Linked DNA regions of Drosophila melanogaster. The protein of the gene in region 3 binds, or shares a complex with, the protein of the main gene of each other region. Each region holds a gene or a part of one and is shown on either strand. Other genes may lie near its edges.

Region 1 (9,916 bases), on a different chromosome or scaffold from region 3:
CAATCGGATGTATCGTCGAGTTCTGGAAACGGCGCGGGAGATCATCCAGCGCGATCTGCAGGACATGGTGCTGGTGGCGCCCAACAACCACTCAGCCGAAGTGGCAAACGATCCCTTCCTCTTCCCACGCTGCATGATCTCGAAAAGTGCTCAGGTAAGTCGTTCGCTAAACGAAACGATTGATTACGCACTAATGGATTCATTTTCGCCGGCAGGACTTTGTCAAACTAATGGACCGCATTCTTCGCCAGCCCACGGATAAACTGGGCGACCAAGAGGCCGATCCCATAGCCGGCGTCATTTCCATCATGCTGCACACCTACATCAATGAGGTGCCCAAGGTGCACCGCAAGCTGCTCGAGAGCATTCCACAGCAGGCCGTCCTGTTCCACAACAATTGTATGTTCTTCACACACTGGGTAGCGCAGCATGCGAACAAGGGCATCGAAAGCTTGGCGGCGCTGGCCAAGACACTGCAGGCCACCGGTCAGCAGCATTTCCGCGTGCAGGTCGACTACCAATCCTCCATCCTGATGGGCATCATGCAGGAGTTCGAGTTCGAGAGCACGCACACGCTGGGCTCTGGTCCACTGAAGCTGGTGCGTCAGTGCCTTCGCCAGCTGGAGCTGCTGAAGAACGTGTGGGCCAATGTGCTCCCGGAGACCGTGTACAATGCAACCTTCTGCGAGCTAATCAACACATTTGTCGCCGAGCTAATCCGTCGAGTGTTCACGCTGCGCGACATTTCCGCACAGATGGCCTGTGAGCTGAGCGATCTCATTGACGTGGTGCTCCAGCGGGCGCCCACGCTTTTCCGCGAACCAAACGAGGTGGTCCAGGTGCTCTCTTGGCTTAAGCTGCAGCAACTGAAGGCCATGCTGAACGCGTCGCTCATGGAGATCACAGAGCTGTGGGGCGACGGCGTCGGCCCGCTGACCGCCAGCTACAAGTCGGATGAGATAAAGCACCTAATCAGGGCGTTGTTCCAGGATACGGATTGGCGGGCCAAGGCCATTACGCAGATTGTATAGGGCGCGTGCGCCTTTTTTGCGAGCGAGGAATGTTGAACGGCGGATAGACATCACATTTGAGGTGGTAAACGGAGTCTAAATTTGATGATCACCATCAATGTGTCCTTACTTTAATTCCTTGAATTGTTTACCACAAATGCCAAAAGTAATAGAATTTGATAATCTTTAATTCTCCGAATGGTTTCTGTTGTACATAGAAAAGTAATTATCCACAAAAATCCATTCCATTCTTCCCGCAACGCAACACAATATTTAACTTAAGACTTATTTAAATGAATAAAAACAACTAAATCCCATTAGTGCGCCTCTTGTCGCGCTTGTAGAACGAGCATGTATAGCTGCTCAGTAAGCAGTCTGTGATCTCGGCCGTGGGTGACGGTTAGGATGCGTTGGGCCTCCTCCAGATGGTGCAGTGCCTCCTTGGAATGGCCCTCGTAGAGCTGAATCTTGCCCAGCTTCATGTGAAGCAGGCCCAATAGCGGATTCCAGGGTCCGTGGTATTTTCGAAAGCCTGGCAGCAAACGTTGCCCGTAATCCAGGGCGTCGCTCCACTTGCCCACTTCGATGGCTGCTTCGAAGGCCGCATCGAGCGTCTTGACGTACCACACATTCAGGGGATGGAACACGCCAGTCTGCTTGTCCAGACACACCTTGCACACATCGAGATCTGTGATCGAGAGAGTGAAAATGTGCTTATTATGGAGCTAATTCCATTTCGTCGCATCTACTCACAGGCCACGTCCTTCATGTTCTCCAGATTGTGCCGGGTCAGAGTCATCGCCTCGTTGAAGGCATTTCTCAACTTGGGACTGATGCCGGCATCGCATCGCGGGCAATTATTGCGGTCCACACTGATTCCCGCACCGCAGTTGCGATTGGGACACAGGGCAGCCAGCATCTCCTTCGATTCCTTGGCATCCGTGCACTTGCTGCACACGCATAGGAAGTAGTAGTGCTCCTTGAGGTCCAGACGCCTCTGCTCCGGCGTATTGAGCAGGTCGATGTAGCTGATGAAGATTTTCGACCAGTCCAGGCATTCCATGTCCTCGATCGCGTGGACGTGCAGCTCGTTGCCCTCGAAGGTGGCGACCGCATTTGGCTGGCAGCTATGGTCCGTAATCGAGACGCCCAGATATATGGCCGTGGCAATTGAGTTCATCTCGGCGTCCAAGATATTGAAGCCATTGGTGATCAGCTGCAAAGAGCAGAGAAGAAAGAGCATGAGCTCCCGCGTAACTGTGCGCCGGGGAATGTGAACCGAAGCCCTTCCTAGATAATCAATTGACTGGCAGAGCGCCAGGCATACATCATTGATTGCTATCTAATTTGGGCGACCAGGAGCGGCTGCATACGCAAGCGTCTTGGTTTCTCGATTCAGTACCAGTGCGATGAATCGCCCAATCCGCTCCTGCTCGCTCGCACAGGTGCCTGCACACTTACGCGACCATAGATGCTCATCAGTTCCGTCTTGTTTGGCACCGTGCTGGGACTCTCGGCCATCATATCGGTGAGGACGGCATGCAGCGAGTCCAAGTGCTCCAGTCGCATGGGATCGTTCTTGATTTCGGCGTAATCTGTGCACGTTAACGTGGATTAGCTAGGAATGACCATGCAAAGCGGTTCGCCCTTTGGTTTACTCACGGGACATGAGATCGCGAAACTTGCGGGAGCCGTGCTCGGTGTAATAGCCGCGGATCAGGTCTCCGCCGTGCTCCAGGCGCAGGATCAGTCGGCAGAGCATTCGGGCAGCATCGGGCACAACTCGAGGATGCACCTTCTTGAGGAAAGGACACTCGTGCTTGTGCTGGCCCCAAGCTTGCATCTGGCATGAGCGGTGGCAGTAGGACACATACCTGCAGTTGGAGCACTTCAGCACCTTGGTCCTGCAACGACGAACCCAAATTAGATAGCTCACAAAGGCAGCCACATGGCGAAACTTACGCCTCCAGGCAGTTATCGCACCGCTCCAGGCGGTACTGTGATTTCAAGACGAAGGCGAATGGTTTCTCCGTGAGGATCCGCTGTCCCCTTTTTATTTGCGGCGCCGGATTCTTTAGGTTCTTGGATTTGGATGAGCATGCGGATGCGGTTGCGGATGTGGTTGCGGATCTGGATGAACCAACGGTGGCGGTGGCCATTTCGCTCGAACGGAGCAACAACAAAGACTTTCGCCTGGGGGCCCGTCTCACTGACGACTGAAAATGAGCGCACACCTGAAGATCAAAAATATTGTTTCGAATGCTTTTTGAATATTTTGCGGCATCTGATTTCTATTTTTGGCCACAAAAACAAACACAATTTACGCAAATCGCTGGCAAACACAAAAACAACAACACCATGGTGTTTATTCGCATGCAAACGATGGCGTTGCCAGATCGGCTGGAATCATGCTTTCTACAGTGGGCACCGCGTAAGGTTAACTTGTTAACCATATGTGGGTAGCTGCATGTCGTTAAAAAATACACTTAACAAATCATATTCAAGTTTTTTAAGTAACAAATAAAAAATATTTCTTTTATATGTTGTTCCCAGTGTCTACGATTTGGTGGCCTTGCGTCCTTTAAAACGAGGGAGAAAGCTATATTAGAGCAAAAGTCGAAAGCATTTGTGTTGGTTGGTCCGCAAAACTAAAGAAGAGCGATTAAGTTATATCAAATATGAAAAATATACGATTCTAGATGCCATTGTATCCTTGCAGAGCATAGTCATCTGGTTTTCGGTGCCCATGGGGGCTGTTTTAAGATTTATTTGTAGCAAACTTAGCATAGCATAGGGACAAATTGTGTGATCGACTCGAACGGACTCCTATGAGCAGTAAACGCGGGTAGTGGGAACGGGACTAACTAATTGTTCTGGGGTTTCGACCATTCGACGCTGAGGATCAAGTGGTCGTAGCCGTGTCCATTGAGGATCTCGATGGCGGCGGCCGCATCCTTGCGCTGCTTGAAGTGCACGTAGGCGAATCCCTTGCAGAGTCCGGTGTTCTTGTCGCGGGCGAGATACATCTTGCTCTGCGGTCCAATCTTCTTCACCAGCTCCTCGAGATCCGCCTCGGTCATCGACTCCGACAGATTCGATATCCTAATGGCGGCCGTGTCGTCGCGTCCGCGCATTCCCAGCGCGCCCTTTTGGCTGTCCTTGAGGAACGGCGGCACATACTTGCCGGACTTGGGCGCATCGACGGCGGCCGCGGCGGCTGCCGAAGCCTTCTTCTCCATCATATTCGTGTCCATCGCCGTGCCCTTGTACGGGCAGTTGACCGACCAATGCTCACCGTTGCAGATACGGCACTTGGCAATATTCTTGGTGGGATCTAGCAGCGGATCGTTGGCCTTCTCGTCCTCCTTGGAGTTGAGGAACTGCATGATGATCTCCTCGGACACCATGGTCGTCTGCGAGTTGGGGCCGGGCTTGTCGTTCTTCGAGTCGCCGAACTTCGTCCAGGTGCGTCGCTTGGCCACCGTCTTGGGCACCACCTGCTTGGATATCTTGTACGTGCGCACCACCTTCGTCTTCTTGTCGTCCTTGTTGTACTTGTACTCCGTCACGTACTTCTGTCCGTTCTCCACCGTCTCCGTCGTCGGAGGTAGTCCACCATAGTCGAGCTCCACCTCGTCCGCCCAGGAGGATTTGATCGTTTCAACGCCCGGCATCTGAAAGGAATTGAGGGCGCAGTGAGTGGGGCTACACTGGGCGCTTGCTTGGGGTGCACTCACTCTGATTTTCAACGCGATTTGTATGCGAAATCGTAAATGCAAATTTCGCCACGAGTTAAGCGGATTTTTAATCAGCAACAAAAGAGTGTTACCCTGCCGCGGTCACAAAAATATGCCGTGTGTGTCCAAAAAATATACCGCTAATACCACTTTGCACTTTTTGGAATATACCATTTGAAATTTCGTTACATATAAGTTAATAAGTTATCGATTTGATTTTGAAGATCGCAAGCGACCGTTTATTGCAATTTATCATTTGAAACTAAATCTAGCGTACAAAATGTTTCCCTAAGTCCCTAGCAATCAAGTGAAGTCGTCGGCAGCGGCGCAGCAGGCGTCGGCCGCGGCGCAGCGCAGAAGTGTCGATGTCGCGCTTAACCGTTCGTTGGCGTTGATGGCAGCGGAGACTATGTGGAACCACAAGATGTTAGAGAATCAATTGCAGGGCAATAACTCCTCCCCTCTTAATTGACGCTTGTCCTCGAGCGGTCATCATAAGGATGGGATGTTTTTGAGTCGCATCGTTGGTGGGGTGATTCGTGGTAGTTTGGGCACAGCATTAATGGTTTGAATGCCAGGTGTTTATTGTTGCGTGCGTTCGAGGTTTGTGCAACTCGGATGTGTTCTGCATTGACAACTTGATTGCTTCTATTAAAATTCTGGTTTTTACTAAATTACTAATGAATTTATATCTACATATTTTTAGACCATTGGAACCTTTGCAGAAGGCATTGATTCCGTACATTTCGTCTTTAATTGGTAAATTTTATTATTATTCAAATTAAATTATTATTTATTTATTATTATTAGTTTCCTTTACTGATCATGTTTTAAAATATAAGAAATAAGGAATTAACTGATTCAATATGGAGATTTCAATGGCATTCAAATTGTAGTTCCGTTGTGTAAAGCGAGAACGTGTGAAAGTTTTAACATTTATTTGACCGTCAAGGCAGAAATCGGTATATTGTTTTCAAGTAGGCTACTGGTCTCATTCAATTTAAACTCGCTCCGCAGAAACGCATTCACAACGCAATCTCTTCTTTCACGAGCCCAATCTAATTCTGCAAACCTATGGCCAACTCGTCTGTCAAAGTCGAATCGTTTCAAATTTAATTCTCGTGGTTACGTTAATCAGTATGTTTAATGTTTCTATGTTCTACTTGTCTATCGATGTGGCCACAGTAATTATTCTGAAGCAATCATGATCTTATGTTACTTTTATGTACTAATTTCCCTGATTCTGTTAATATTGTGGTACTTCGGTCTTCCTTAACTAGTTCCTTCCTAAATCTACTTGATAACTTAGAACCTAATCTTGTATTAACCCTAACGAAAATTTCTTGCCCTTTGATATAGGTTTTTATGGGCTTTCTTGTCCGGTTGTGGTATTCTATGTCGGTTTCCTGTTTTTGCCTAAGTCGGTCTATATTGTCCAGTCTAGCTTGTTCATATTTTTCTGGAGCTACGGTAGCTATCCTGCCGAAGAACACCTCTAGAGGTCGTTTTTTTGTGACAGAATGGACAGTGTAGTTATATTCATAGATGGCCCTATCGAGAAGTTCCTCGAAGCCCCTATGTGTTCCATCTCCTTTCAAACATCTCATTATTTCAGAGAGTGTGGAGTGAAATCTTTCTATCTGTCCATTTACTGTACTCTTATACGGAGGTGCTTTGTAGAGCTCAATACCCAGCTGGTCTGTCAACATGAATTTGATAGAGGCTGAGTTGAGGGACTTTTCATTGTCCATTACTATTAATTTAGGCACTCCATAATAAAACACGATATCTCTTAGGGCTTTCCTAATGTCTTCTACAGCTTTGGATTTGATAACTCTTCCCATGGCCAGTTTGGAAAATTTATCAATCGCCGTGAGCACCAGATGTCGTTCTGTCGAGTAGATGTCAATATGAATAATTTGTCCGGGGTATTCTGGCAAGGGAGTTTGTCTTATTTCTGGATGCGTGGGATGTCTGTCATATTTAGCAGTCTTACACACCAAACACTGATTCACGATAGCCGAAACTTTTTTCCTCATTTTAGGAAAGTATACTCTTTCGGACAACTGAGCTTTATTTTCCACAGCATTTCTGTGTGCTCTGTTATGTGTCCTAAGTATTTCTTCCTCTTGTTCGGCTTCGTTAACAAGGTCTTTGACTTTGCTTTGGCAGAATCTAATCTTGAAACCCTGAAAATGGATGGGGTAGAGAATTTGAATTTTCCCCATTACATCCTCGGATGTGAAAATTCCATTAATCACGGATGGGTTAAGATATTCTTTCAAATCTGACAAGAGACTATCGGGTGTGAACAAGTTGCGATCTACTAAATGCCTTTGAAATGTCGGGAATGGAATGCTAAATGAGTAGTTCTCTGACTCGGACTCCCTGAAGAAAATTTGATTCTTGAATGCGTTTATCGGGGCTTCAACGCTAGGTATCAGCCCATGGCTCGAACTGTCAGAGCTGTGCATTGTTGAGGCTACTGTGTTAATTTGTTCGACTGTCGGTCCTCTGGACAGAGCGTCGGCTACAGTATTTTCTCTGCCTGGCTTGTAGAAAATTTCGTAGTCATATTCCTCAAGGTATGCTTTCCATCTCTTAATCCTCGCATTTCCATTCCAACTACTGAGAGAATGGGTCAAAGGCTGATGGTCAGTAAAGATTTTCACCTTTGCTTTACCGTAAAGGTAAATTTTTAGCTTTTTTAGAGCCCAGATAATGGCTAACATTTCCTTCTCATTCGTGGCATAATTTTCTTCCGCCTTCGAGAGTGTTCTCGATAAAAATGAGATGGGTCTGTTCTCTTGTGAAAGAACAGCACCTACTGCGAAATTGGAAGCATCCGTTGTTAGGTGAAATTCTTTCTTAAAGTCCGGGTAGTGGAGTATTACGTCTGGAGAAACCAAGCTGCTCTTCAATTTCTTGAAGGCTTCTATTGCTTCGCGATTAAGGGAGACGGATTTTTTTGACGATAATGTCCTGGAAATTCGACCATCCTCCCCTCTCAAAAGCGAGCTAAGTGGTTTTGCTAACTTAGCGTAGTTAGGAATAAATCGCCTGTAATATCCGGATAATCCCAAGAATGATCTCAGTTCTTTGAGTGTCCTTGGAATTGGAAAGTCTGAGATTGCCTGTACCTTGGTTGGGCTGGTTTCAATGCCCTTGTCGGACACGACGAAGCCTAGGAACTCCACTTTTCTCTTCATGAACTCGCATTTATCCAACTGACATTTCATGTTGGCTTGCTGAAGAGTTCTGAAAATAGTGTCAAGGTTCTGGTAATGTGTTTCATCATCTTTACTAAAGATGATGATGTCGTCAATATAAATGAAACATATCTTACCGATATGTTCGTGAAGAATATCGTCCAGTGCGCGCTGGAAAATTGACGGTGCATTTTTCAGACCGAATGGGAGTCGTGTAAACTCATATTTTCCATTATTGATGGAGAAGGCGGTCTTTTCGATATCAGATTCCTTTAAAAGAATCTGATGAAACCCACTTTTCAGATCGAGCACTGAGAAAATCTTGTTGTCTCCCAATTGGGCCAACACTTCATTAATGTCAGGGATAGGGTATCTGTCCGCTACCGTTACCATGTTAAGTTTTCGATAGTCAATTACCACCCTGTATTTTTTCTTGCCAGAGGAGTCGAGTTTTTTTGGTACAATCCACACTGGTGAATTGTAAGGTGACCTTGAGGGTCGAATGATTCCATCGTGTAAAAGTTCGGAAATTTGTTTGTGTACCTCGTCTTTAAGAGACATTGGGTACTGATAGAATTTTGAGTATATTGGCGTATCCGATATAGTTCGGATTGCTGCCCTTACACTTGTTGTGTAGGTTAGTTTTTGATTCGGGTCTGCGAAGAGACCTGGATACGAATCAATTATTTTATTCAATATCATTCTCTGTTCCACCTCTAAGTGTTTTATTCTCGGACTAATTGTGCTAACAGCCTCGAACTGTTTTTCTTTGAGAACAACTCTTTTCCCGTTTTCCAGTGTCATGGTTAGGTTCTTCAAATCAATTTGCGCTCCCATTCCCTTCATTGTGTCTTTGCCAAGTATGGCGTCAAAAGTCTTCAGCGTTGGTAACAAAAAAAATTTTATTTCGAAATCGAAAAGGCTTGCTCTTTTGTAATGCGATATTTTTACATCACCGCCTGGAGTATCAGCTATGTAAGGCTTGTTATTTGGTATCGCGTTCGTCACCAAATTGGGCTGGATGTAATTTTTATTAGAGCCTGTGTCAATCAACACCCTTAAAACCTTTCCACTCCCCACTCTACATTCGAAGTATGGTAGTGAGGAGTCTTCTACTCTAAAAAATGCAACACGTGGTCTCGTTGTTCGCTGTCCAAATTGTCTATTTGTCCATCACAGTATTCATTTAGTGTGCCGTTTATATTGTTCTGGGTTTCATAATCTTGCATCGACCGTTGATAGCCTGTCATGCTTGAACTGGACCCAGTTACTTCAATACTTGGCTGTCTCATGTTCACTGTTTGGATGTTGTAGTTCTTTTGTCGTTTGTTTATGTCCGAGTGTGGTCTATTCATATAATTAATGTTTCGCGTCTGTACACTGCCGTCCACGTCCATTGGTTCTGGTCTTGGTTGTGGTTTGGTCGCAAAGGGACGGGGTGGGGCATTGTATTGTTGCCATTGCTGTTGATAGTTTTGTCGGGGTGGAATGAACGGTGCATTACCGAAGTTAGACACGTGTTGCCTTGGCGCCGGGAATGGCTGGCCTAAATATTGTGGAGGTCTCCTCATGGGATGTCGTGGAGGGACCGGTGGAGGCTGTCGATGGCCAAAGGCATTCGACGGCTGAAAATTGCGGGGTGCCGGAATGGGTTTTTCGTTTCCTCTGAAACTCGACTGTTGACCCTTATTCGCCGCATGGTTTGACCTGAAAGTTTGATTTTCAAGTTTAAGGCAATAATGTAAAGCTGAGGGGAGATCAGCTGGCTCTTTTATTGCCAAAAGGCGAGGTAAATCTCCTCGAAGGCCTCTGATAAAAGTATCCAGAGCTTTTTCTCTGTACATTTTTGTAACAAAGTGCTCGGATTCTCGGCTCATTTGCATGCAGCCGACTTTATTTAGAATAAGCGACAGATTTTTGTAGACGTCTTGGTGGAAGTCTTCCACCGACTGCTGGTGGC
Region 2 (9,924 bases), about 16 Mb from region 3:
TAAATGCTTTAAACAGTTCACCATGAATTAACATAATTAAAACTTCGGAATAAATATTTATGAGCAATTCGTAATTACGCGCATAAAGACAAATACGACGGAAACAAAATATTTGAGGGACTTTACACATTACATTTGCATACAATTGTGCGACATAAAAAAAATACGTATCGAAATCCTTCCTATAAAAAGATGGCGAAAAACAGAGTCCGGAGATTTAATTAAATTTGGCTTAATGTTGTCACCGCACGAGTCTTGCTGCCCCTTGTTGCGTGTTGCATGTTGCATTTTGCTGCTGCTGCTGCGGCTTTCAGTTGGAATTCGGTTATTAAACATTCTGCGGGACTCGTACGCCAACAATGTATCGGATTCAATTAGTATGGTGACCACAATGTCCCTCCGAAGAATAATGAGCAGAAATAAAGCCAACAAGCTTGGAGAACTTACTTGTTAATCAGATCGTTAAGAGTCATTCTCAGCTGATACGTGGGCCTAACCATATTAAGAAAGAGTTCTAAGTCCAACTTTGGGGATGTAATGCAGATTTCCATACTATCGTAGAAATATAAATGCGATATCATTTCTATGCGTAAAATCTATATTTAGTACTATTTTTGACAAAATTGGACAATATCTACCTTTTCTGAACATTAAATTTAATAGAAACTCTTTTTAATATGCTCCCTTTTTTCGAATTTCAGGTTCCACCATTAAGGGCGTCGTGGCCATTCTGAACTGTATCCTAGCACGTCAGCTATGCTTCGAGGATCCCTCATGTTCGGCCATTTTGGAAATAATACCTCGCGTCTGCGGACCCATTCCAGGTAAATAAACAAACAAGCCATAAAGTCATCCAGCCAAACATATTGAAATCAAATCGATAATTTTACCACGCCCTGATGAAATGTTTACACAAAATCTATGGGTTTTTGTGTCAAGTGTTTGCAGAGCTCTCGAGCTTTCACCTGCGGCGCTCAACGCTGATTATGCACAAGTTTTGGTCATTTGAGAATTAATTTCCGCTGCCAGTGCGAGTCGGTTGAATATATTATATTCTTTCATCGTTTTTATTTGCTTGGGGGCTTTGTTGTTGTGGCTGGTTCGACAACTGTGTAATTATTTCAGCCATTTTTGAGGGTTTCGTGAGCAGGCGCGCGTGCAATAAAACAGTAAATAACAGTCTACACTTAAAGCGCAACAGAGACCGCGAAGGAGATCGGCCACGAAACGCCAGCAAATGGCATATTTGAATATTCAAATGCCCCCGAGAGTTTCAACGCCGTCGAGTCGATGGCCTGTTTCTGCGGTACCCTGTACAATGGGGGAGATGGGGTGAACTGCACTGTAGTGCACAGGGCGTATGAAGAATATTTCAAAATACATAATGTGCTGTGTGCGTATACTTAATGGGATAGCTTTCTGGATTATTTAATTCTTATTCTAATTAAAATTATTTATGCTAAATTTTATACATTATTTAGCCTCTATTCAAATGTGTTTTGTTAGAAGTTACGACAGGTAAAACTTAAAAATTAAAAAGTTGAATAGGAACATGGATTCTTTTAAAAAAGTTTGTAAATATCCGTTATTGGAATGAGTTTGCTTACTTTAAATACCACTTTAACTCCAACTACTGGGTATTTCTTATTTAACATTTGACTTTTAATCTTCTGTTTGTTTTTCTCTGGAAGAGTGAGTGAGTGTGCGTGCGGTGAGCGCACATGACCTGAAGGTGCAAACTGAAAAAGAAATGCGTGGCCGAGGGCGTTCTCCTTACCAGGGCGCCTCATACCCCCAACTACCCCCCCCCCCCCCCACAATGCTAACTAACCTGTCAAGCCGCCCACCTGGCCACCCATTCATTCGCCTTCCACCTATTCATTCTGCCGCTCAAACAAAGGCCGGGGACGAACGAATGAGCGCGCCGCAGAAAAAGTTAATTTATAAATTATTCAGTAATTTGTTTTAGACTCTGCTTTAGCTGCTACCCATCCCATACCACCGCAACAGCAACAACAATGGAAATAAATTTCTTTTGTGCCTGGCTTTGATCCGCCCCTCATTCAAAATGTGTATCTAAGCCGGGACTTTCCCGCGAACACTATCCACCGACCACTCATTCCCGGTTCAACGTCATGGTCGCGTAGTTGGCGTCCCGTTCTGAGGGGCTCCGCTCCAAGTATCGTGCGCATAAGTCCGCTCTTATATTTAATTATTAATGTTCATTCGGTCCGGCCAGCGTCTTGTGGCATTTCTCAGCTCTTGCCGGGAACGCCGTGCCATCATCATCCGGCACCACGTTGGCTTCCATTTAAGTGGCTTTCACCTTTGTACGGCTGCGGAGCACGGCGAAAAAATCGCATTTAAAACGGAGCATTATCGGCTTTAGTTCGCTCAAGGCGAGCTTTCTCTTTTATGCACTTAAAAAAAGCATCCACCTTGGATGTCCAAGGGTATATCAACTCGAAAATTGAGTGGTCCCAAATGAACCAGACTGTTTTTAACAATTTTCATATCTATCTCAATTCATATCCTTTGCTCAACTGAAAGATGAAAAAATCTACTACGAAACATTAATAAATAGATTTTATATTATTATTAATATATTCTCTGTAATTATCGAATGTGTGCAAATTAAAAATAAAAGTGGTCGCATATTTTGCAGGGTGTACCAGAATTTTATTTTGATTTCACTGCCACCGCAGCTCATTTCCGTTCTCGAATAAGCAGAGAAGCGAATACACAAGGCTATAGCCATTACGGCTGAGGCTTGGACCACTCGACGCAGAGGATCAAGTGGTCGTAGCCGTGGCCATTAAGAACCTCAATGGCGGCAGCTGCATCCTGGCGGAACTTGAAGTGCACGTAGGCGAATCCCTTGCAGAGGCCGCTGTTTTTTTCGCGCGCCAAATACATCTTGGTGTGTGGTCCGATTTTCTTTACCAGCTCCTCGAGATCAGTCTCGGTCATGGATTCGGATAGGTTTGAGATGCGAACTGCCGACGAATCGTCCCGATCCCGACCCCGTCCCCAATTTTTGCTGCCAGATATGCCTCCGCCGTCCTTCATGAAGGGTGGTACATATTTTCCGGTCTTGCTGGGATCACTTATAGCGGCAGCTGCAGCGGCATTGGCCTTGGTTTCCATCACGGTTTTGCTATCCATCGAGGTGCCCTTGTAGGGACAATTGACACTCCAGTGTTCGCCATTGCAAATGCGGCACTTGGCGATGTTCTTGCCGGGATCAAGTTGGGTTTCGTGGGTCTGGTCGAAATCTTTGGAGCCGATGAATTGCATAAAGATCTCCTCGGAGGCCATTGTCGTCTGGGAATTGGGTCCGGGCTTGTCCGATCGCGAATCCCCAAACTTAACCCAGTTGCGACGACGAGCCACAGCCTTCGGAACAATCTGCTTCTCGATCTTGAAGGTTCGCACCACTTTCACCTTCTTGCCATCATCGTTGAACTTATACTCCGTCACGTACTTGAAGTCGCCCTTAATGTACTCATTAGAAGGCGGCAGTCCATCCACATAGTCCGCATCCACCTCATCGGCCCAGGAAGTAACGAAAGTCTTCATTTTTTATGATTTCCCACACAACCGGTACAAAATGAATTAAAAACTTAGAGATCTCTAGTTTTAGAGAGAGTTTTTCCATTTGAATTTTACTTGGCCTGTTGAGATGGGAAAAAATCCCTTTCAATAAAAGATATTTGAAATTAATATTTATATTTTCTTTAAAGTAATGATTTTTTAATAAAAAATACAACAACTTGAGTAGCAATTCACTAAGATAACTTTGCAACAAAAACATACCATTCAATCAATCTTGATTAAATTATAAATTTTTTTACTTTCATGAGTTGTTCTTAATAATTACATATTGTCTTTAAATTCAATAAATTTATTAATCTTATAGTTATTCCGTAAACAAATAAGTTCTTATCTCTGACTTGAGCATGAAAGTAATCGCTCTCCTACTGATAACAGTACAATTAAAACCGAGCTGAAACTTAATCAAACTTTGAGCTGTTAGTTCACTTTCACTGCTCTAGTCCGTCGGTTGTTCTATTGGCATTAACATGTTGCTTTTGAAGCACCCGAAAACCAGCCAATCAATAGAAATCAATGAGTTTTGGCTCCGTGATCATTGTCGATGTGTGGAGTGTCTAAATTTCGAAACAAATCAGAGGCGATACGATGTCTTAGATCTACCAGCTGATATAATGCCACTAGATGTCAAATACGACGGGATGAATCTACAAGTGCAGTGTAAGAAAAAATTGATGTAAAATGCACCTAGCTTCGATTTTATTGGCCTGCCATTTTAGGGAGTGATGCTCACAAGTCGAACTATGACCTGGACTTTATCTTCGACTCACAGCTGGAGAGGTTGATAGGTCGGCGATCAAAGTCCACTAATCTGACACCATGGAATCGTAGCATTATCTTGCAAAACGAACGGCACTTACGATTCCCATTGCCCCAGCTGGTTTCCAGTGATAACGAAGTCAGATCCCTGGTTGAATCTCTGGTGCGTTATGGCATTGTCTTTATCGATGATGTGGCTCCCACCGCGAATATGACAGAATTGGCTCTGCGACGAGTTTTCCCCCTTATGAAAACGTTCTTTGGCGAAATGTGGACTTTTAGCGATAACCCCGATCACGCGGACACCGCTTATACCAAACTTTACCTGGGTTCCCATACGGATAATACCTATTTCTGCGATGCAGCCGGACTACAGGCTCTACATTGCATTGAGCACTCGGGATCGGGTGGCGAAAATTTCTTTGTTGATGGTCTGCATGTGGTTCACGAACTGAAACGCCGGTATCCCGCCGCTTATGATGTACTGTGCAGTGTCCAAGTTCCTGGAGAGTACATCGAAAAAGGGGAGCACCACTACCACACTGCCCCCATTATACAGGTGGATCCACTGACTCAGGAATTTGTTCAACTCAGACTAAATGTATATGATCGCGCCGTGTTTAATACCATCCCTCAAGCCGAAATGGCCGAGTTCTATGACAGTCTTCGCCAGCTTTTGCTAATCGTCAGGGATAAGCAACAGCAGTGGGCTCTCAAGCTATGTCCCGGCAGCATTGTTCTTTTCGATAACTGGAGAGTGCTCCATGGTCGAGAGGCATACACAGGAAGTCGTACCATGTCCGGTTCCTATGTGCAGCGCACAGATTTTCTCAGCAAGGCTCGAGTGCTGGGAATTATTGACTGAAAGCTTATTGAAAAATACCTAATGTATACCGAATTAAAACCTTTTATGAACTAAGAAATTATGATTTATTTTCTATACTTTCTAGTGCTCCGCATATTCCTTCAGCAATCATTTATGTATTATATGGTCCGTACCGACTTTTATACTTTTTGCAATGGGAAAGTTTCATGCGGATAACTTTAACACTGAGAGATTATTTTGTGGATAGAAGAACATTTAACATTGATCAATAATATATATACTTTACATGTTCGTAGCTGACTCCTTCACTTCGATGCAAGATACTGGCTTAAATCAACATCCTTTCTGCATATATATAAGTTTGCTTTTGATTGCTCAAATAAGAACATATTTTAAATTCGGTTCATATATCAGGAATAGCATACATTGTTAAAGAATCGTTGCGTATAGAAAAAAACACGCAAATTGTTCAAGCATATTTTTCTTTTTTCTGAACCGAGTCCCACTCCAATTCAATTTCGATTGCAAATGCTAACGTATCATAATAAAAAGTTACGATTACAATTGCTGGCCAGCGTCTAATTTTTGTCATAGGGGAGTGGATCGCATACAGAAAACCAGCAACAAAAATCATTTGGCATTTGTTTTTATGGCCAGCGTCTCATGTGGGTTTTCTGTATTTGTGTGCGAGAGTGTGTGTTTGGCATAAACAAACGCACTTTGAACTTTTTCATTTAAAAGTGAAATTACTTTTTGTTGGCCGTGCAGGTTAATGGCTGTCGCGCTGCTGTCCTTTAAATGTCCTCCAAATATGGATGTGCCTTAAAGAGATCCGGCAAACGGTGAACGTACAGTGTCTGAATATTTATGATAATTGCATTTCATGCAGGTTTTCCCGCTCGCTTTTCCCGTTTTTCACCCAGCTCTCATATGCGCGGCCACGACCGGGAAAAGCCTTTAAAAGCAGCTTCGATGCCCCAGCTGGGCGATAAATATATTTTTGCTCGCTTTTCCTTCGGCGGAAGTTGCAGCGCAGCAGTCGTGCCTTTGCATGGCATACTTTTCGGCATTCCACTTCCGTTTTAAAACGCTGCACTCACTTTGAGCCACCGTGGCACTTGTCGATGGTTCAATAAAACCAACAAGCACCACGGACATGAGCATGGACACAAAGGACACACACATGTGTTCTCGGAACAGGAAACAGGACATTCCGGCCGAAATAGTTCAAACACAAAGTGCCTGCTTGACTCACTCGTAATTAATATGCTCGATCATAATTTATATGCCCTTCAATGGCTGCTAAACTTAATAAATGACTCATAAATTTCACCTACAGACGCCATAAAAAGCCGAAATATAATAAAAACAATGGCCAGACCAAGGCAGCAAGAACAAATATCAAACTAAAATCAAATAAAATACGGCAGGAAAAACTGGCGAGCATACACAGTCAGGTGCCAGCAACAAACAAACAAACAAAGAAATCATTGAACCAATTCAGCGACCAACTCAACAACCGGAAACGCGTTTCGAATAAAAACGAATTGAGGACTTAACAATAACAGTAAAAGGCAAGGGCAATGGCGGCGTCAGTTCAAAAAAAAAAGTTGAAAGAACACAACAGCAAATGGCGTCGCTTGATGGCGACGAAGCATAAAAACCACTCGCCTTGGCTTTATTTTTTATGGCCGCCCAGCATGCAATGACGAAACCAAAGCCAGGTACCACTAACCAAGGAAAACCGATGGCCAGGACCTGCGGCTCAAGCGAATGGCATCTAGTTAGCCGGCCACGCTTCAAATGCACTTACCACACGGAGAGAAAGAACGGAAATATAAAGTATATACATAATTTAAGAAAAAATTGTATCTGTTTATTTAGACAAATATGTCAGTCATGCTCGTCTTGTATCTGTACGTATAAAATATGTGCATGCATTTTTTTTTTTACATTCAAAGCAGCATTCTCCATTTCCTTGTCCATTGCGTAAACATGCTGCGCTTCCCTTTGATACGCAACGAACGAGTTTTAATTGACACCACAAGGGACCCCGAAAATCCCCAAATCCGAAAACCAGAAAGGACATCGACACGAAAAAAATGAAACGGTGCGAAAGCGAGGGGCATAAAAATGATGGATGCCTGAGAAAAATGTCACTTGTTGCGCAGTCGATGTCAGTGTTTCGATGTGTGCGTATGTGCTGGCCAACATCCAGCCCCAACGAACTTCCCTCTGCAGGAGCAACTTTATGTTCAACTAGCAAATAATCATGTCCGGTCTGCATGGGACAAGGGCGTTATTGGATAGGTCGTGGGGCAATCACAGGGGTCACCGAAAGGGGGCCTCAGTTTGGTTCGGTTCGGGTCAGTTGAGTGACGTGAACCACATGGCGTGGTGGCCACCACTGCCACCACTACCACCACTACTCGCTTCCCATTATGCCGGACGGACTCCCATTGTCCGGCAGTTTGCTTGTTTTGCTTTTTGGCGATTTTACGGCTTATGACGACAGGCCAAACGAGTCCCTTTCCCAGTTCCCAATGAGTGTGTGTGCGTCTCCGGCTCTGCTGGCCGTGTTTGTGAAGTGTTGGCGTAGCCGGGTTTATTAGTAGGGCTTATGTTTTATGGCCAAAAGGACAATAGATGGCCAACAGATGTTTGCCTTTTGTTTGACGCAGCAGTTGGAGCAGTAGTGGTTGTCATATGCTCGAATAAGCTGTCACAGACCCACACACCGTACAGTCTATGTGTTACACATAATTTATTATGTTATAAAATATTATCCCGTTCACGCTCCCTGCGCATCGCTTCATTGGGCGCTTAAATCGACCGTTTTGTTTGGAGACTCAATTATTCATATAGCAGTTGTTGTAACCTCTCTCGGCCCTTATTATGACATGTGTCTGGTTTGTAGTTGTCTCGCTGCCATTTATAACAACTGTCATGGCCCAAACCTGCACTGAAAAAAATAGCATTTAATTCGAAGAGAAAGCGTTGTAGTTCAGCTCCTCATCTATCCGATACCCGCTACTCAGAACCCTAACAACGTTACGATTAAACAACATATAAAAATAAATTAAATTATATTTTTATTTAATTTTGGGAACTTGTATTTCTGAAGTGTACCCATTCATATTGCTGGTAATCGATGTGCACAACCAAAAATGAACCAGCACGACATTTAATGTCAAAGTTTAAGCACTGCTGCCATTGATAGATCATTAAGCATATCCGCCCAATCCCGAAATGGATACAACTGCCACTCACTTGCGACACCATGTAGAACTGAATATCCTTTCTTCCATTTGCAGTGTCCTGCAGCACGGTGACGGTGACCAAGTGTCAGGCTGCCCTGCGCACCCTGCAGGCCTTCCAGTTCTTTCGGCCCACCTGCCTGTGCAAGGAGCCCGGAATGGATCCGGACTGCAATCACTTTCGGGACTTTCTCTTCGATCATCCATGCGGATTTGTGCTGAAGAAAGGTCTAAAGGAAATTTAGTTAGTATTGTAACTTTGTTAACCAACGTTTAACTTTTCATATGCAGCCGAAAAGGATCCGTACCCCATTGATGCCCTACCAACTTGCAACCATGCACTTTCCGTCTGCCAACAGGAACGCAAATGTCTAAAGCTCTTCGAGGACTTCAAAACGCATTGCAAAGTGCGCGACAACAAATGCAAAATGGAAAACAGGTATGCCATGTCTTAAAAATTTGTGATGCTTTTAAGAATGCTTGATTGGATTTTTATTAAATATATATATATGTATATGTGGAATCAGTGAGGTAAATTTGTATATATTCTGTTGATTAATCTTCATTAATGAAAATTCCCATGGTGATTCTTAAATAAAAAAATATTTTAAATAAACTATATCAAAGGAATTTTAAAATTCAACATGTTTTTATAATTAAATTATATTGCCCTTACCAAGTTTTTGCAAGGCATGTGTGTGGTAGAGTTTCGAAGAATAAAATGTTGAAAAACTCCTTATCGATCAGCCACATTGAAACATGAATATCGATAAAAAATTCATATCTATATGGTCAGCCATTTGCCGAACAAGGGAAAATTAGGTAGTGGCCCAATTTCAGAAGTAATCGTTAAAAATGTAACCAAAAGGCGCTCATATCAAATTGACAGCTTTATTTTATGGCAAGAGCCAGACCACTACTATTAAAATATAAGGCACATTATGAAAATGGAAAATCGAAGTCCACTACCAACAGCCAATTCTGATAATGAAAATTAAATTAAAACGTGTTTGACTTAATAAGAAAATTGATTTGCCTCGTGCCGCAACGTGATTGTGCCGCTTAATGGTTAACGGCAAATGCAATTTGCATTGGCAGTTGGCAAAAAGTAGAGAAGATTGAGTGTAGCCACGTGTTCTCCCGTTCGGGCTTAAAAAGTGGAAGAACCACCAGCCACCTTGCAACATTCAATACTTGCGCTTATTGGCAAAAAACACAACGCACACAGCACTGAAAGCAAAAAGCAGACAGCAGCGTAAACAGGAGTCAAGTTGAGCGAACAGAAGGCGAAATGAAACTTCCTGCTTGCCGGCATCTAGCTGCTTCCTTTAGCCATCACATATCCTTACTGACGCGATTTCCTCCTTGCCAGGACTCGGCTGGCTCCTTGCCTCGATGGCTCGATGGCTCGATGGCTCGTTGCCTCGATACACTTGAATACAAACGTTCTGAATGTTTTAATAACTCGAA
Region 3 (12,918 bases):
CTGCTGCTCATAGGCAATCTCGCCCCCGCTGTCGGCGATGGACCGATAGACCTGGGCATTTAGCTCATTGGCATCATGGTTGCTGAGCTCCTGTTTCAGAAAGTCGTTGTAAATCAGCTATTTAAAGAGTTAATCGAATTAATACTGAAATGTGATTCGCTCGTATGCCCCTCGAGCCAAAACCTACCAGATTCTTTCTGTTTTGCAGATCTTCCTCCCGGTTATGGTTGAGCAGTGATTCGTCTGTGGGCGCGATGGGTAGGATGCCGCTCAGTGTATCTGTCAGTTGCAGTCTGAAAGGGTTTGCATTAGTTTTTAGTACATTTTTCTGATGACAATCACTCACTCATCATTAGATGACCAGAATATCGGCTCAGACTCGTATTTGGTATAATTTGCCTCAAAGGTATCTCCTTGGAACACATTTAGCATTCGTGAATCCATTTTGCGTCAAAAGTTAAGTAACTGTAAACAAATAAACTCGGATTAAATAGGGAACTCCTAAAAACGAAACCAATCATAGTTGCCTTTTCGATATCAATCCACAATCGTCATATGATTGTAACATATTGAAAAATCAAGTTTACAAAATCACTTCCCGTTAACCAAATAATAATAAAAAAAAAAAACGAAATGCCAAAAAAAGTGATCACAAGGCGTCAACGCAAAGCTGCAGAGTCCCGGCTAAGGGCCACAAAGGAAGCAAGTCAGAAGAATTGGCCCAGGATAATAGAAGTTATACCGATTCCCCCAATCTCTCGTTCGACTAATTCAACTAGCTCAAAGGAAACATACTCAAAGAAAAAAGATATAGGTATGTCCCAGACGACTTTAGATGGAAAGAATGAGAAGGAAAAAACTCCGTCTTTGGAACAGTCAATCCACGAATCCGAAAAGAAAATTCAGCTGTGTGATGCTCTGCAAAAAATTCGATTAACTAGTCACAAGAAAACCTTCTTGTCGGAAATAAAAAAGAAGGCTTTTGACGCGGAACAATTCCAAAATACCACTTCATCCGGATATGATAAGGACAATAAATTTATTGCACTGGTTCCAAGGAACACCAATAAAGGGGCCAATAAAACTCCAAACTCCAGCGTGCCATTGATGTCCAAATTTTGCGAACAAATTAAGTCGCACTTCCACTCTGTCCTGCCGACACGAAACCTACTCTGTTCAAAATCCCCAATTCCGATGGAAAAGGAACCTGATCACGGTGCAGATTTGCTGTTGCCACGACCAGTTTTCAATAACCTGGAGAATGAAGTTAAAGTCAAATGCTTCAAGCCTTCTGAGCTAGCTAGAAATCCCAAACCGCCTATTAGGATTTTTGGCATAACAGGCTTCTTTGTCCTAACTGGTACCAATGCTCAGTTGTCTTTTCACATCGGCCAACTTGCGATCAGAGGCGTTAGTGTCCAATCATGTATACATCTGCAAACCGAAATGATGGATAAGGTGGAGGAACAACTCGCTAAGCTGACTATGGACCGCAAAAGAATCCTCAACAAAATGCATAACAAGCATGCAACACTTGCACAACGTCGAGCTCCGCCAGAGACACATCATCAGGGTAAAAATTAAACATAGGCATTGACATTAAAATTAAATTACAATGTAAATAAATACCGAAACCGGAATAAAAATGTAGCTTTAGAAAGCCTTAACACGTGTCATAAATGACTTAACTTAATCATTTAAACAAGATTTCTCTAAAACTATGTCATGAATTGCACAATTTAACTTCATGTTTTGCATTACAAAGATTTTTTCTTTGGGCTGGGAAAGGTTGTCGATATATTCAAAATTATGTTTATATTTTCCTGATAGTTGTTGCTTAAAACTATTATAGTTTAGTTGAATAGTTTTAAATTTAAGTTCCATCTACAATATATTGATGTAAATACTGTGGCCGCAATATTGAAAGCCTGCACGAAAGGTGTTTTTTGACACTAGATACCAAGATTTCCTAAATGGTAAAATTAACATTTCGAAAATTGAAGCAGTCACATACCCTCTACTATACGATTGACGGGTGTAAATGATTTTAATCAATCTTCAGCGCCTCTGCATCACCTACACATGGACCTGGAACACAAAACACAATAGTTTTAGCCAACGACAACAATAACAAACATGCCCACACAACGACGATGGCGGAAAGAAGAAGCAGCAGTAGCAGCAACAGCACATGTTTGCCCCAACCACGTGTATGTGTATGTGAGCCACGATGGGCGCGTGTGCGTGTAAATGCCGCCACGCCATGTGCTTTTGATACTGCACTCCTTGGCGAAAAGCAATCGAGTTGAATGAATACGTTTCGCAGGTCTTGCCTATCACCTTGGCACTTTGGTTTCGAAAGCCTTTCTCCCCAAAGCTCAGCGGATTCGCTATCGCATTCGCGATGTCCAATCTGTGGCACGCGCCTAGCAATATTACCTTCTGAGCTTCCGTTGTGGTTCCGGATCACCTATTTCACTCGAAAAAGGGCTTCCCCAGCCGAACGCTTGTTCGTTCGGATTTTTGCCGCCGTCTGCTTTAACCTCACATGTTGAGCGCCGCGTCTGCAGCACTAACACAAGCACACAAGTCCGGTGCCCAAAAGGGCTTTTTCTTGCGGCAGTCAAACTGCGTCTTTCTGTTCCGCCCGAAGATCACGATCACCCGCGGTTTAAGATGGGCCAACGTCACTGCACTCCAAAGCAACCCGCAATCACTTTATCTCATGAGTACCGTATAGCACATTGTCCAAAATTTGTTCACGTGGACCGAGATTCGCGGCAGCGGCACAGACAGTGTGACCAGGGGCGCGCACCGCGGAGGATCCGCGAGGCCATGGCATTAGTGCCAAGTTCGCAAGAAAATACTAGTTGAGTGTGCGAAGAAGGCGCGGGCTCATATTATCGAGGCAAATTTTCAGAGGCAGAATATTTTTGTTTTGCTTGCTATAAAAGCTTTTCTAAATTTACTCGAATTTATTCCCAACGAATATGGTTTTACCTAAGAAAGATGTCACTTTTTTAAAATAAGTCAAGCGTATGTGATAATACAATTTACAATACTTTTGAATGCATTTTTTATTTATGGGCAATTAAAAAACCTAATGTTAAAAAGCCACGCTTCCAAGAACGAACTTTGTAAAACTATAGAAGAACCCGCATTTGTTTAGTTTGCAAACTACATTTTAATGTAGTTTTAGCTCTGTCGAAATATAAATTTAAAGGGACTGGTTTATAAATCACTGTACGTATAAGGGAAGCTTGGTTCATCCTGAAATCTGATAAATAAGAATTAGAATTTTTGAATTAAACCAATAATAACCACTTTTCATTTCTTTGATTCCCAAGGTTCTCATTCGACAATTTCACTTTTCAATTTTTTAGAACATAGTTATTTTATTCGAAAGTACTTTAATTAGTATCGGTCCTACAACCATCTCAATTTTAACTATCTGGCACAAGCTTTGGATAGATAGATATAATATACCGGCCGACTGAGCTCTACACCAATAAAGTACAAGTCGGATGAAATAAAAACTTATTAAGAATATTATGCTGGGTATATACGATGATGAAAATAAAAATTAACGACGCTTAACGCTGGTCCACTCGCCATCATCGCCAGCTTTGTTCTCTGAAAGATGTAACGCATTGATAAGAATGGAAATTAGGTTTGCTGCTGAGATTACTTACCCTTTTCCTGGGCTTGATCGCGCTTAGCTGCTGGTTTTTCCTCACGGGTCGCAGGAGCAGTACGCCAGTTTCCGCCTACTCCGCCACTGGCTGCCTCCTTAGGAGCAGAGCCGCGTTGATCGCCACGAGTCTCGCGCACATCTCGGTCGCGCCTCTCAGCTGGGCGACGGGTTTCCCGATCAGCGTGGCGTGGAGCGTCGCGCCAGTTCCCTCCAGTTTCCCGCTGAGGCTCGTCGGTACGACGCGCCCCGTCGGCGCGGCGGAATCCACCGCGCTCATCGTCACGATCCCGGCGAGGACCATCGTCACGGTCACGCCGAGGCCCATCATCCCTGTCGCGACGAGCCCCATCAATGCGGAAATCGCGGTCACGTTCTCCGCCACGCCGCCACTTGTCATCGCGCGATTGCGGAGCGCCACTGTCTTTGGGAGCAGCTGCACGCTGTGAATCTGGCTCTCGTCGCACACGCCAAGAGGAGTCCGCTCCCTCGTTGTCCTTGCGGTCACGGTCACCGCCTCGTTCAATGCGCTCTCCACCACGCTCGAGGCGTTCTCCACCGCGCTCGATCCGTTCTCCTCCGCGCTCGATACGCTCGCCACCACGGTCGTTGCGTTCACTGGCCGCAGGTGCAGCACGACGCCACTCGCTGGATCCGCCGTTAGATGCGCTTGGACGGTCACCGCCTCGAGGACGCCATGTGTCACGGTCCTTTTCAGTGCGTTCGCGCTCCGAGGCCAACTCCCTGGACAGGCGGTCTCGATCTTCCTTGATTTTACGCTCAGCTTCCTCCTCCTTGGCACGCTGCTTTTCGTATTGGGCACGACGCTTTTCGTCCTCAGCCTCACGCTCCAAACGGCGGGCTTCTGCTGCGGCGCGCTCTTCGGCAGCCTGTGCCAAGCGAATCTCTTCCTCCTTGCGAAGACGCTCCTCCTCTTTCTCGCGAAGGAAGGCCTGTCGGCGCTCCTCGCGGCGTCGAATAATGCGGTCGGCTAAGCGCTTTTTGCGCTCTGCCTCCAGAGCAGCCTCAAACTTTTTGAGCTTTTCGACGTAGAGGGAGGCACGTTCTTTTTTAAGGGCCTCAAGGAATTCATCCCGGTCCGGATACATGCGCTTGAGACGCTCCTGCTGGGCGACGGCATCCTTCCGTTCGGCAATGGCATTCTCGATGCGTGTCTTCTCGGTTGCTTCCCAGAACTCCTTGTCCTTAACCTGCTTTTCGGCCAAGTATTTTTCGAAAAGCGGTATCTCCTCCAGGCGCTTGGCGCGTTCGAAGTAGTCGATTTTCTTCTCTTGCGATTTGAGTTTCGACTGCAGTTCCTTGGCCTCGCGCTGAAGTTCCTCGCTTTCCCGCTTGGCGATCTGCTCGGCGTCCAACTTCTTAATGCCTTCCTCATCCAGCTTGGAAAGCATCTTCTTACCATGAGCCGTCTGCGAGATTTGCTGAACCTTCTCCTTGAGACTCTTCTCCCGGATGGCTTGGATTTCGTTCTGATGGCGCTTGCGCTCTCTTTCTTCTTGCTCCTGCTCGAGGCGCTTCTGTTCGGCCAGTTTGGCCTTCCGCGATTCCTCCTCCTGACGCCGCGCCTCTTCCTCTTCACGAGCATTATTCTGCTTCTCGATGTACTCCTTTCTGTCCTCGATGATCTTCTGTCGCTGAAGAATACGCTGGTGCTCGCGATCCTTGATCTCATGGTAATGGTTTACCATCTGGTTGCGGAGCTTGGCCCGCTGGTCACGTTCACGGTTCGGGTAGACGATTGAAACTGCCCGTGTCAGAACAGTAGACATATTAACCAACTGAGAGCGGATCTGTTCCGAGGGCATCGATTGCAAAGCGGGTCCGTCGGGGCGGTACTCGCGTTGACTCTCGGTCAGATCAGTGCCGAAATAGATACTGTTCTTCTGGTGGTCAATACGAATCTGCATGTCATTGTGACGCACGGACTCGACCAGCAGTTTTTCCAATTCAAAAATGTTGCAAAAACTGGCCAGCTGCAAGAGACGCTGGAACTTAATACTCTCATAAACCTGAGAGATCTGACGAATCAGACGCATTATAGTCACGTCCTTCAGCGATTGAATGTAAGGAGTGAGCAGAGCGTTTTCGGGCCCGTTCTCAATGAAGTCCACGATAGACTGAATGCGCTTGCACAGATTCAGTGGGTTGAAATCCACCTCCAACCAGTTGTATAGATTGCGAAAGTCCTCAGATACGAGTTGAGGAACATTCAAGCGCACCTGTGTTTATGAATTAGTCATAAGTCATTACTATATTGCGTGATACTTACCACTTCACGAATAAGGGAGACGCGAGTAGGTGGCTGGGGCAGGCCCAAAAGCACGGCCAACTTCTGCGCCTTCTCCAGGGGGCTCTTGTCCGCCTCAATAAACCTGTCGAACTCTGGATGGGCCGAAGGCAACGGAATAGAAAGAGTGGCCAGGAGAACGTGGGCAGCCATACGCTGCAAGTCGTCCTTCGTCAGGTTCTTCTTCAGCTCGCGCGTCAGCTGGAAGAGCTTCAGCAGCGCTGCAGCGTGGAACAACTGGTTGCCGGCCTTGCTAAAGACCATGGCTAATTTTTGGTAGTAGTTGGCCATGGTTTTGGGCACGGGTGTCTTCTTGGACAGAGCCATCAGGCCATGGATATCCTCGATTGCCTTGTAGGCCTCTTGCCACAGCTCCATCTGGATGGCCGAGTCAAGAAGGTACAACCTGGTGTCCAAGCAGAGCTGCTGCGTTTCCACCTTGTTGATCGAGACACCGGTGGTCTGGTTGCTGCTCTTGCAAATGTCCTCCAAGTGTTTGCGCAGCTTGTCGCACAAGCGGCGAAACTCGCTCTTGCGGTTGTACTTAAGGCAGAACTGGAAGGCCATGCGAGCGATATCGTGGTACAGCGCCTCGCAATGCGTGTTTACGCGCAGCAGCTCTAGACACTGGCAGTAGGACTCCCACAGGAACTTGACCCACGGGAGCAGAATAGTGCGGTCGGAGCGGTCCTGTGCGTCCTCGCCACACACTGCGCTCATTAGGATGCTCTCTGGCGTGGCAATGTTGTCCAGGTCATCCAGCTCCAGAACAGCAACGGCCGCCGAGGACTGGGCTTGGGCAGCCTCTGTGTGCTCTTCGGCCATTTTCAGGTAGCCGCGGATTACATTTTCCAGAGAGTTCACGTTCACCAGCTGGAACATGTTCCGGTACTGGAATAGTCCCTCCTTGGCGATGTGCGACTTCTTGAGTTCCACGCAGAGGTACAGGTACTTGAACATGAGCGGTTCGATGACCGTCTCCGAGTAGGCATAGTTCCATCGCTTGTTCCGGAAAACTTCCTGCAGCGTGTCCAGCGCCCTAAGCGGCTTTCCCACTTCAATGAACTCTGTGACGAAGAGAGCGGCGTCGAGTTAAGAGAGCACACGATTCGCGAAGACGAAAGTTTCTCTTCAGACACCGCATGGAAAATTTTCAGCACTCACCATTAGCCCTTTTTAGGGCGTTTTCCGGACGTTGCGTATAGCGGGCCATTTCCGATCGCTTTACTTACTTGCGGCGGCACTTCAAGTTGATTTTGATAGCAGGTCTGGAGCGTTTTGAGACCTGGGGCTGCTGAAAATTGTATAAATCTTCGGCTCGCCTACGTGTGGCTGCAATATTAATGCAAAATGGCCGAGTCGACGGCACGCAGGGCTACACCTGGCTGCGTTATCGATAGTTCAGGCCGATAGTTGCCGATGGTCAGCTAATCGCAGTGCAACTCCGCTAGCTCACAGCAATAACACGAGGAGTAATGAAGTCGCTCTAGAATATAAATAAACAATTCATTAATTAAAATAGCGACATGGTCAACTGGAGGAAGTTTATCTTGTGGTTCGCCCAGGAGCATGTCGACTTTCGCGTGCAGGAGTTTGATTCGCTGGTCAAAATGTTTGGACTTCAGGTCCGGCGGCTTACAGAACACACCAGGGTAAAGTGTTTTAGTACCAGAATTTTGAAAACGCAAGATTAACAAATTCCACCTCCCCTATAACTTTTAAAACCTGTGGTTTAATGTTATATCCAAACTTGGAATTTTATTAATATGTTTAATATTTTTAACGTAAAAAAATTTTATATGTATTTGTAAGAGGAAGAAAATAGTAAACTATATTTTCAAAAGTGTTTTCAACAGGTAGAAATTTAGCATTACTAGCTATAAATTATATACGATCGTTGAGATCTCAGGAACTACAAAACCTAAAAGGTTTCGAAAGGATACCTGATACCTGGTATACATACATTACGAATACGATCCGCGTACCTGTTAGATGTTTTTAGTGTAGGATACTTTGATTACATTATTTTTAGAGCTTGCGACACATATATAAATACTTCTGTAGTATAGAAGCATCAGCATATATAGTTATATTTATATTTTTTAATTTCGGTATTACAGAAACCATTTTGGTTGGTCGAATTTCGGGACACGGATACTGCGTTGCTATATGCATCCAGGTCCGTTTCGTTGCGCGCCATGTTCGAGCTCTACGCCCACTCCAACAAATTACCCGAGTTTCACCAGAGGCTACGGAATCATGTTACCGCGAACTGGCATTCGCTTGCGGAATACTTTCGGGTGGATGCCAGTTTTAAGATCGTTGTGGAGACCTACAACAAGCACTTCAGCCAGAGGGAAAAGGTTGAGAAAATCGAGTCCATGGATTACCTGCCAATAGAGGGAACGGTCAATCTGGAGAAACCCGTGGTGGAGTGGTGGTACATCGAGTTTTGGGGCTTGGATCCAACGGCTGTGCCACCTGAGCCGGAGGACATTCTGTTTGGTCGGCTGATGGCCCATGGTCAGCGGCATTTGATCAAGGAGCTTTCGCTGAAGCATCGTAAGTTTATCGGTAACACCAGCATGGACGCCCAGCTGAGCCTGCTAATGGCCAACCAAGCGATGGTACGCAATGGGGATCTGGTATTTGATCCGTTTGTGGGAACGGGCTCGCTTTTGGTAAGCGCCGCCAAGTGGGGCGGGTATGTCCTGGGAGCGGACATAGACTACATGATGGTGCACGCCCGCTGCCGGCCGAGCCGGATAACCCAAAAAGTGCGGGAGAAGGACGAGAGCATTCGGGCCAACTTGAAGCAGTACGGCTGCGCTGATCGCTACATGGATGTGGTGGTGGCCGATTTCTCCAACCCGGTGTGGCATTCCCGCATCTCGTTCGACTGCATAATAACAGATCGTAGGTTTATTCTTTTTTATACCAAACTTAAAATGTTCATTCTTTGGTAATTTAAGCTCCCTATGGAATAAGAGAGGCCACGGAAAAGGTGGAGAAAAAGGCTAGCGTAAAGGCCAACACTAGAAGTGACAGCATGGTGCATTACCCATCAACGTCGCACTATTCCTTGCAGAGTCTCTATGGGGATCTTCTCGAGTTCTCTGCGAGGCACCTAAAACTGGGAGGACGTCTTGTCTGCTGGATACCCTTTCACAGCGAGGACTACGACCCGAAGATGCTGCCACAGCATCAGCATCTGAGCCTGATAGCTAACTCTGAGCAGCAATTGACTGGGAATACAGCTAGGCGGCTACTCACCTATGAAAAGTGTTTCGAGTATAGTCCAACAGAACCCTTATTGTGCAGCATAAAACAGGTGCCAACGCCCTCGCAGGACTTCAGGGATCGGTACTTTAATAATGCTCTGGAGTCACGCAAAGAGCGTCGAATGCGGAAGGCAGAGCTGCGGGAACAGGCTCGTGTGGAGATGAATGCACGGGGAAAGATTCCTACGGATGGGCGCTCCAAAAAGTGTGACCTGAATAAAGCTCGATTTATGTGATCTCCATTGAAGTGTAATTTATAGTAAGATATAACTTCGATTCGGGCCAAATTTTTTGTTGGCTGTGTGTCGCTGAGTTTTCTTGTATGGCATACATTTCGAAGATTTTGATTCAGATTTGGACAAAAAAAAAAATAGATAAATACGATTGACAATGAGTCTATATATGTATATAGTTATAATGTTATTTTAATATTTTATGAAATACATAAATCTAGTTTACAAATTTCCATTTCGTAAAAGTTGAGATAACAGAAGGCCAGGAAATATGTATTGATGCATAATTTAAATTATAAATGTTGAAATAAACTTGGCGGTCCTTTATACATCATATGTATCCAAATAACCATATTATCCGATTTCAGCAGAACTTGCTGGTTTTTTGGCGTGTTCCTGAAGGCGGCATTCGAAAACTTTAGCGAAACTATTGAGGAGTGCGCCACTGGCCTCCTCGACAGGAAAATGTCTGTCCAGCTCTTTGCTGAGCGAGGTGACCCCCTTGCCTTCGATTCCGCAGGGCACAATGTGCTCAAACCACTGCAGATCCGTGCAGCAATTGAGGCCGATTCCATGCGTGGTGACGTAACGCGAGCCGTGGATACCGATGGCACAGATCTTGTTGTCACCCACCCAGATACCGGTGTCCTTGGTCGCCTTGGCACTGGAAATGCCCATCTGGTGGCAGGCCTCGACAACCATCCGCTCCAACGTCGCCACGTACCAGCGGATGCTCGGCACGAACTGACCCAGGTGCAGAATGGGATAGGCCACCAACTGGCCGGGGCCGTGAAATGTGATCAAGCCACCGCGATCTGTGCGATGGAAGTCTGCTCCTAGCCGGCGGAGTCGGTCTTCATCCTGCGCCGTATAGTCCTTTGTCCTTAGTCCGACTGTGTAGACCGGGTCGTGCTCCTGAAGCACCAGGTAGTTTCGGAACTCCGCTGGCGGATTCAGGATCTGGTTGGACCTTGCAAGACGTTGCTGTAGCTGTAATCCTGCTGAATAGCTATGCCGCCCGGCCCGCACCACGGTCACCAGCGGTCGGACAAAAGGCATTTTTTTAATTGTTTAAAAATCATTTGACTGCAACGTTTAAAACAACAAATATTAACCAGGGCTGCACGATCAGCGGGTTCATCAATATATGTATCTTCAAAAACGGCTGATTGGTGGCAATGGAAAAGTTGGCGAAATTTGTTTTTTTATTTGAGGAAACTTCGATTAATAATCCAACAGTTTAACAACAATTCGGAAAATACGTTGGAGGGAAATCTTTCGATAGGTTACTACCAGGGTTGGTCGAGGGCAGTTAGGAAAATGGAATTCCACCCATCTGGCAACACTACATTTGACGTTTGCAATAAAAAGATATAAAACTCTTACACACGGACGCTCTGCGAATTATTTAGAGTTTGGAGTGAAAAAGTGGGCTAGGGCCACAGAAAACCAACTACCTGTCACCTGCGATTGCAGCACATCCGTGACAGACTCGCTGCGGTGAATACATGGAGCACGCTTGAAATTCCAATAGGCGAGCGGAGCTGGTGCGCAAAAAGCATAGGCCCCATCGCAGGACATGGCGACTCGTCAGGACGACGAGATTGGAGGGGGCAGCACTGAGTCTGCACCCTTTCGCGTCCTGCCCCACACTGACGAAGTGGGCAACTACCTGGCCCACCAACAGCAGCAACAGCAACAGCAGCAGCATCAACATCAAACCCAAAACTATCTGATCCACCAGCAGCAGCATGGACAAGCACCTGTCCCGCTGATGTGGCCACCTCCACCACCGCACCTAGCCGGCCCCCCATTTGCGCCCCATCTTCAGCAGCAGCAGCCCCACATGTACAATGAGTATCTCTTCAATCTGTCCTACTCCGGTCAGCCAGGCCAGCCAGAGACCTACTCCGTGCTGCCTGTGGGACCCGGCAACTTTCTCAAAGTGTACCACTGCCCGGACAACCAGGTCAGCGAAGCCGGCACCCCACTCTTCACGCATATCAACATGGCCTCGATTAATCACCATCAGCTGCAGCACCAACACCAGGCCGCTCCGCCGACACCTTCGCAGCCGACTCCACTGTATGAACTGTTTGCCACAAATCCTTTGACTTTACCACATGCACAGCAGCAAGACGCCCAGCATCGACAGCCCCAACAGACGCAGACTCAGGCCCCAACAGTGTCCCAAGTCAATCACTCGTCGAGCAGTGCTAACCTTCTCATTAACAACCTTGTAAACAACTGGTCGCCCAATTTGACTGGTGGAAGCTACATTCAATTTGATGGCGAGGCCAACGAGATGGACGTCGTTCTCGAGACTTCGATAGCCCAACAGCCACAGGTTCCTAATCAGAACCTGCAGCAGCCTGAGCCACTGTCGCAATCCGTCAATACACTGCCAGCGGCTTCCAAGCCAGCCAAGTCTCTGAAAATGCCTTTGGCCACTGCCACCGTTTCACCAACTGCCATCAACAAGTCGAGCGTCGCCGTGCCTGGCCAACCCGAAGGCAAAAAGCGAATCGTGGCCGAGGTGAAGCCCATGCCCATGTCGTACTCCGATGTGCTCAGCAAAGGCACAAAACCGAGTGCTGCAGGGCGAGATATGCGCGCAGACAACGGTGGGGACTACAGTGTACAATCGCAGAGGCGTCCGGAAAAGGAGGATGCATATGGAAATCGCGAGATGCGGACGTCAAAACGTTCACCGCTGCACGATGCCAAGGAGACGGGTTCGTTTGTGCCCGGTGTTGGTCATGCGCATGCCAGCCGAGGCAAGAAGCGAAGTAAAGTCAGCCAGACCGCGCCGCTCAAGGTTCAACAGTCTCAGTCTCTAGCACAGCCAAATCTACAGCCGCAGATTAAATCAAACAAACTAAATAATCCGGAAAAGAAGCGGCCACTGCAACCGAAGAACGTAAATAGCAACGCCCCTAAGTTTTCGGAGCATAAGACCACTCCGGTGTCCGCCAACAGCAGCTTGCAGAACCACAGCAATGTTCTCAATTTTACTCCGGCAACGAATTCTAGCACTTCATCACGTAAATCAGGCAGTAACAAAATCAACTCCAACGCGAGTCACTCGAATCACACTGGCGCAAACACACATGCGGGAAGCAGCAGTAGCAGTAGCAGCGTAAATTACTCCAGCAATAACAATGTTAGTTCCTCTTCGGCCAAACGGTATTCCTCCTCGAATCTTAACCCGAACAACAGTTCTGGCTACTCCTACTCATCGAAGCGCAATCGAAGCAATGCCTATTCGTCGACAAACTCGCCCACCCATGCCAACAGCTTTTCCAGTAACCGCAACTACGAGTTGGCCAAACGTATTATCCACACCTGGTGGATTTACACCCTGAAACTTTTAACGTGGCTGTTTTATTTGGTGTACGATATCGT

What was found.
Region 1: eIF3a (region 3) and eIF3g1 share a complex: the UniProt entries of both Drosophila melanogaster proteins name them as parts of the eukaryotic translation initiation factor 3 (eIF-3) complex.
Region 2: eIF3a (region 3) and eIF3g2 share a complex: the UniProt entries of both Drosophila melanogaster proteins name them as parts of the eukaryotic translation initiation factor 3 (eIF-3) complex.

Annotation. Positions count from the first base shown.
Region 1 is NC_004354.4:2,605,499-2,615,414, forward strand, and holds eIF3g1 (eukaryotic translation initiation factor 3 subunit g1), read right to left. Parts: upstream 4,839-9,916; 5' UTR 4,748-4,838; intron 4,685-4,747; coding exon 3,875-4,684; 3' UTR 3,749-3,874; downstream 1-3,748. Other genes in the region: Zw10 (Zeste-white 10), read left to right, coding at 1-154, 216-1,031; Smyd3 (SET and MYND domain containing, class 3), read right to left, coding at 1,328-1,698, 1,764-2,226, 2,472-2,605, 2,673-2,914, 2,973-3,169. UniProt on the Drosophila melanogaster protein: RNA-binding component of the eukaryotic translation initiation factor 3 (eIF-3) complex, which is involved in protein synthesis of a specialized repertoire of mRNAs and, together with other initiation factors, stimulates binding of mRNA and methionyl-tRNAi to the 40S ribosome.
Region 2 is NT_033777.3:20,401,982-20,411,905, reverse strand, and holds eIF3g2 (eukaryotic translation initiation factor 3 subunit g2), read right to left. Parts: upstream 3,642-9,924; 5' UTR 3,580-3,641; coding exon 2,758-3,579; 3' UTR 2,663-2,757; downstream 1-2,662. Other genes in the region: Tmlh (trimethyllysine hydroxylase), read left to right, coding at 4,083-4,272, 4,332-5,236; Gfrl (glial cell line-derived neurotrophic family receptor-like), read left to right, coding at 702-824, 8,512-8,682, 8,746-8,893. UniProt on the Drosophila melanogaster protein: RNA-binding component of the eukaryotic translation initiation factor 3 (eIF-3) complex, which is involved in protein synthesis of a specialized repertoire of mRNAs and, together with other initiation factors, stimulates binding of mRNA and methionyl-tRNAi to the 40S ribosome.
Region 3 is NT_033777.3:4,426,536-4,439,453, forward strand, and holds eIF3a (eukaryotic translation initiation factor 3 subunit a), read right to left. Parts: upstream 7,361-12,918; 5' UTR 7,213-7,360; coding exon 7,164-7,212; intron 7,067-7,163; coding exon 5,982-7,066; intron 5,932-5,981; coding exon 3,693-5,931; intron 3,634-3,692; coding exon 3,584-3,633; 3' UTR 3,263-3,583; downstream 1-3,262. Other genes in the region: srl (spargel), read right to left, coding at 1-117, 188-293, 347-444; CG31525 (uncharacterized protein), read left to right, coding at 634-1,584; CG1074 (uncharacterized protein), read left to right, coding at 7,526-7,651, 8,120-8,915, 8,972-9,516; Lipt2 (Lipoyl(octanoyl) transferase 2), read right to left, coding at 9,868-10,572; CG14650 (uncharacterized protein), read left to right, coding at 11,093-12,918. UniProt on the Drosophila melanogaster protein: RNA-binding component of the eukaryotic translation initiation factor 3 (eIF-3) complex, which is involved in protein synthesis of a specialized repertoire of mRNAs and, together with other initiation factors, stimulates binding of mRNA and methionyl-tRNAi to the 40S ribosome.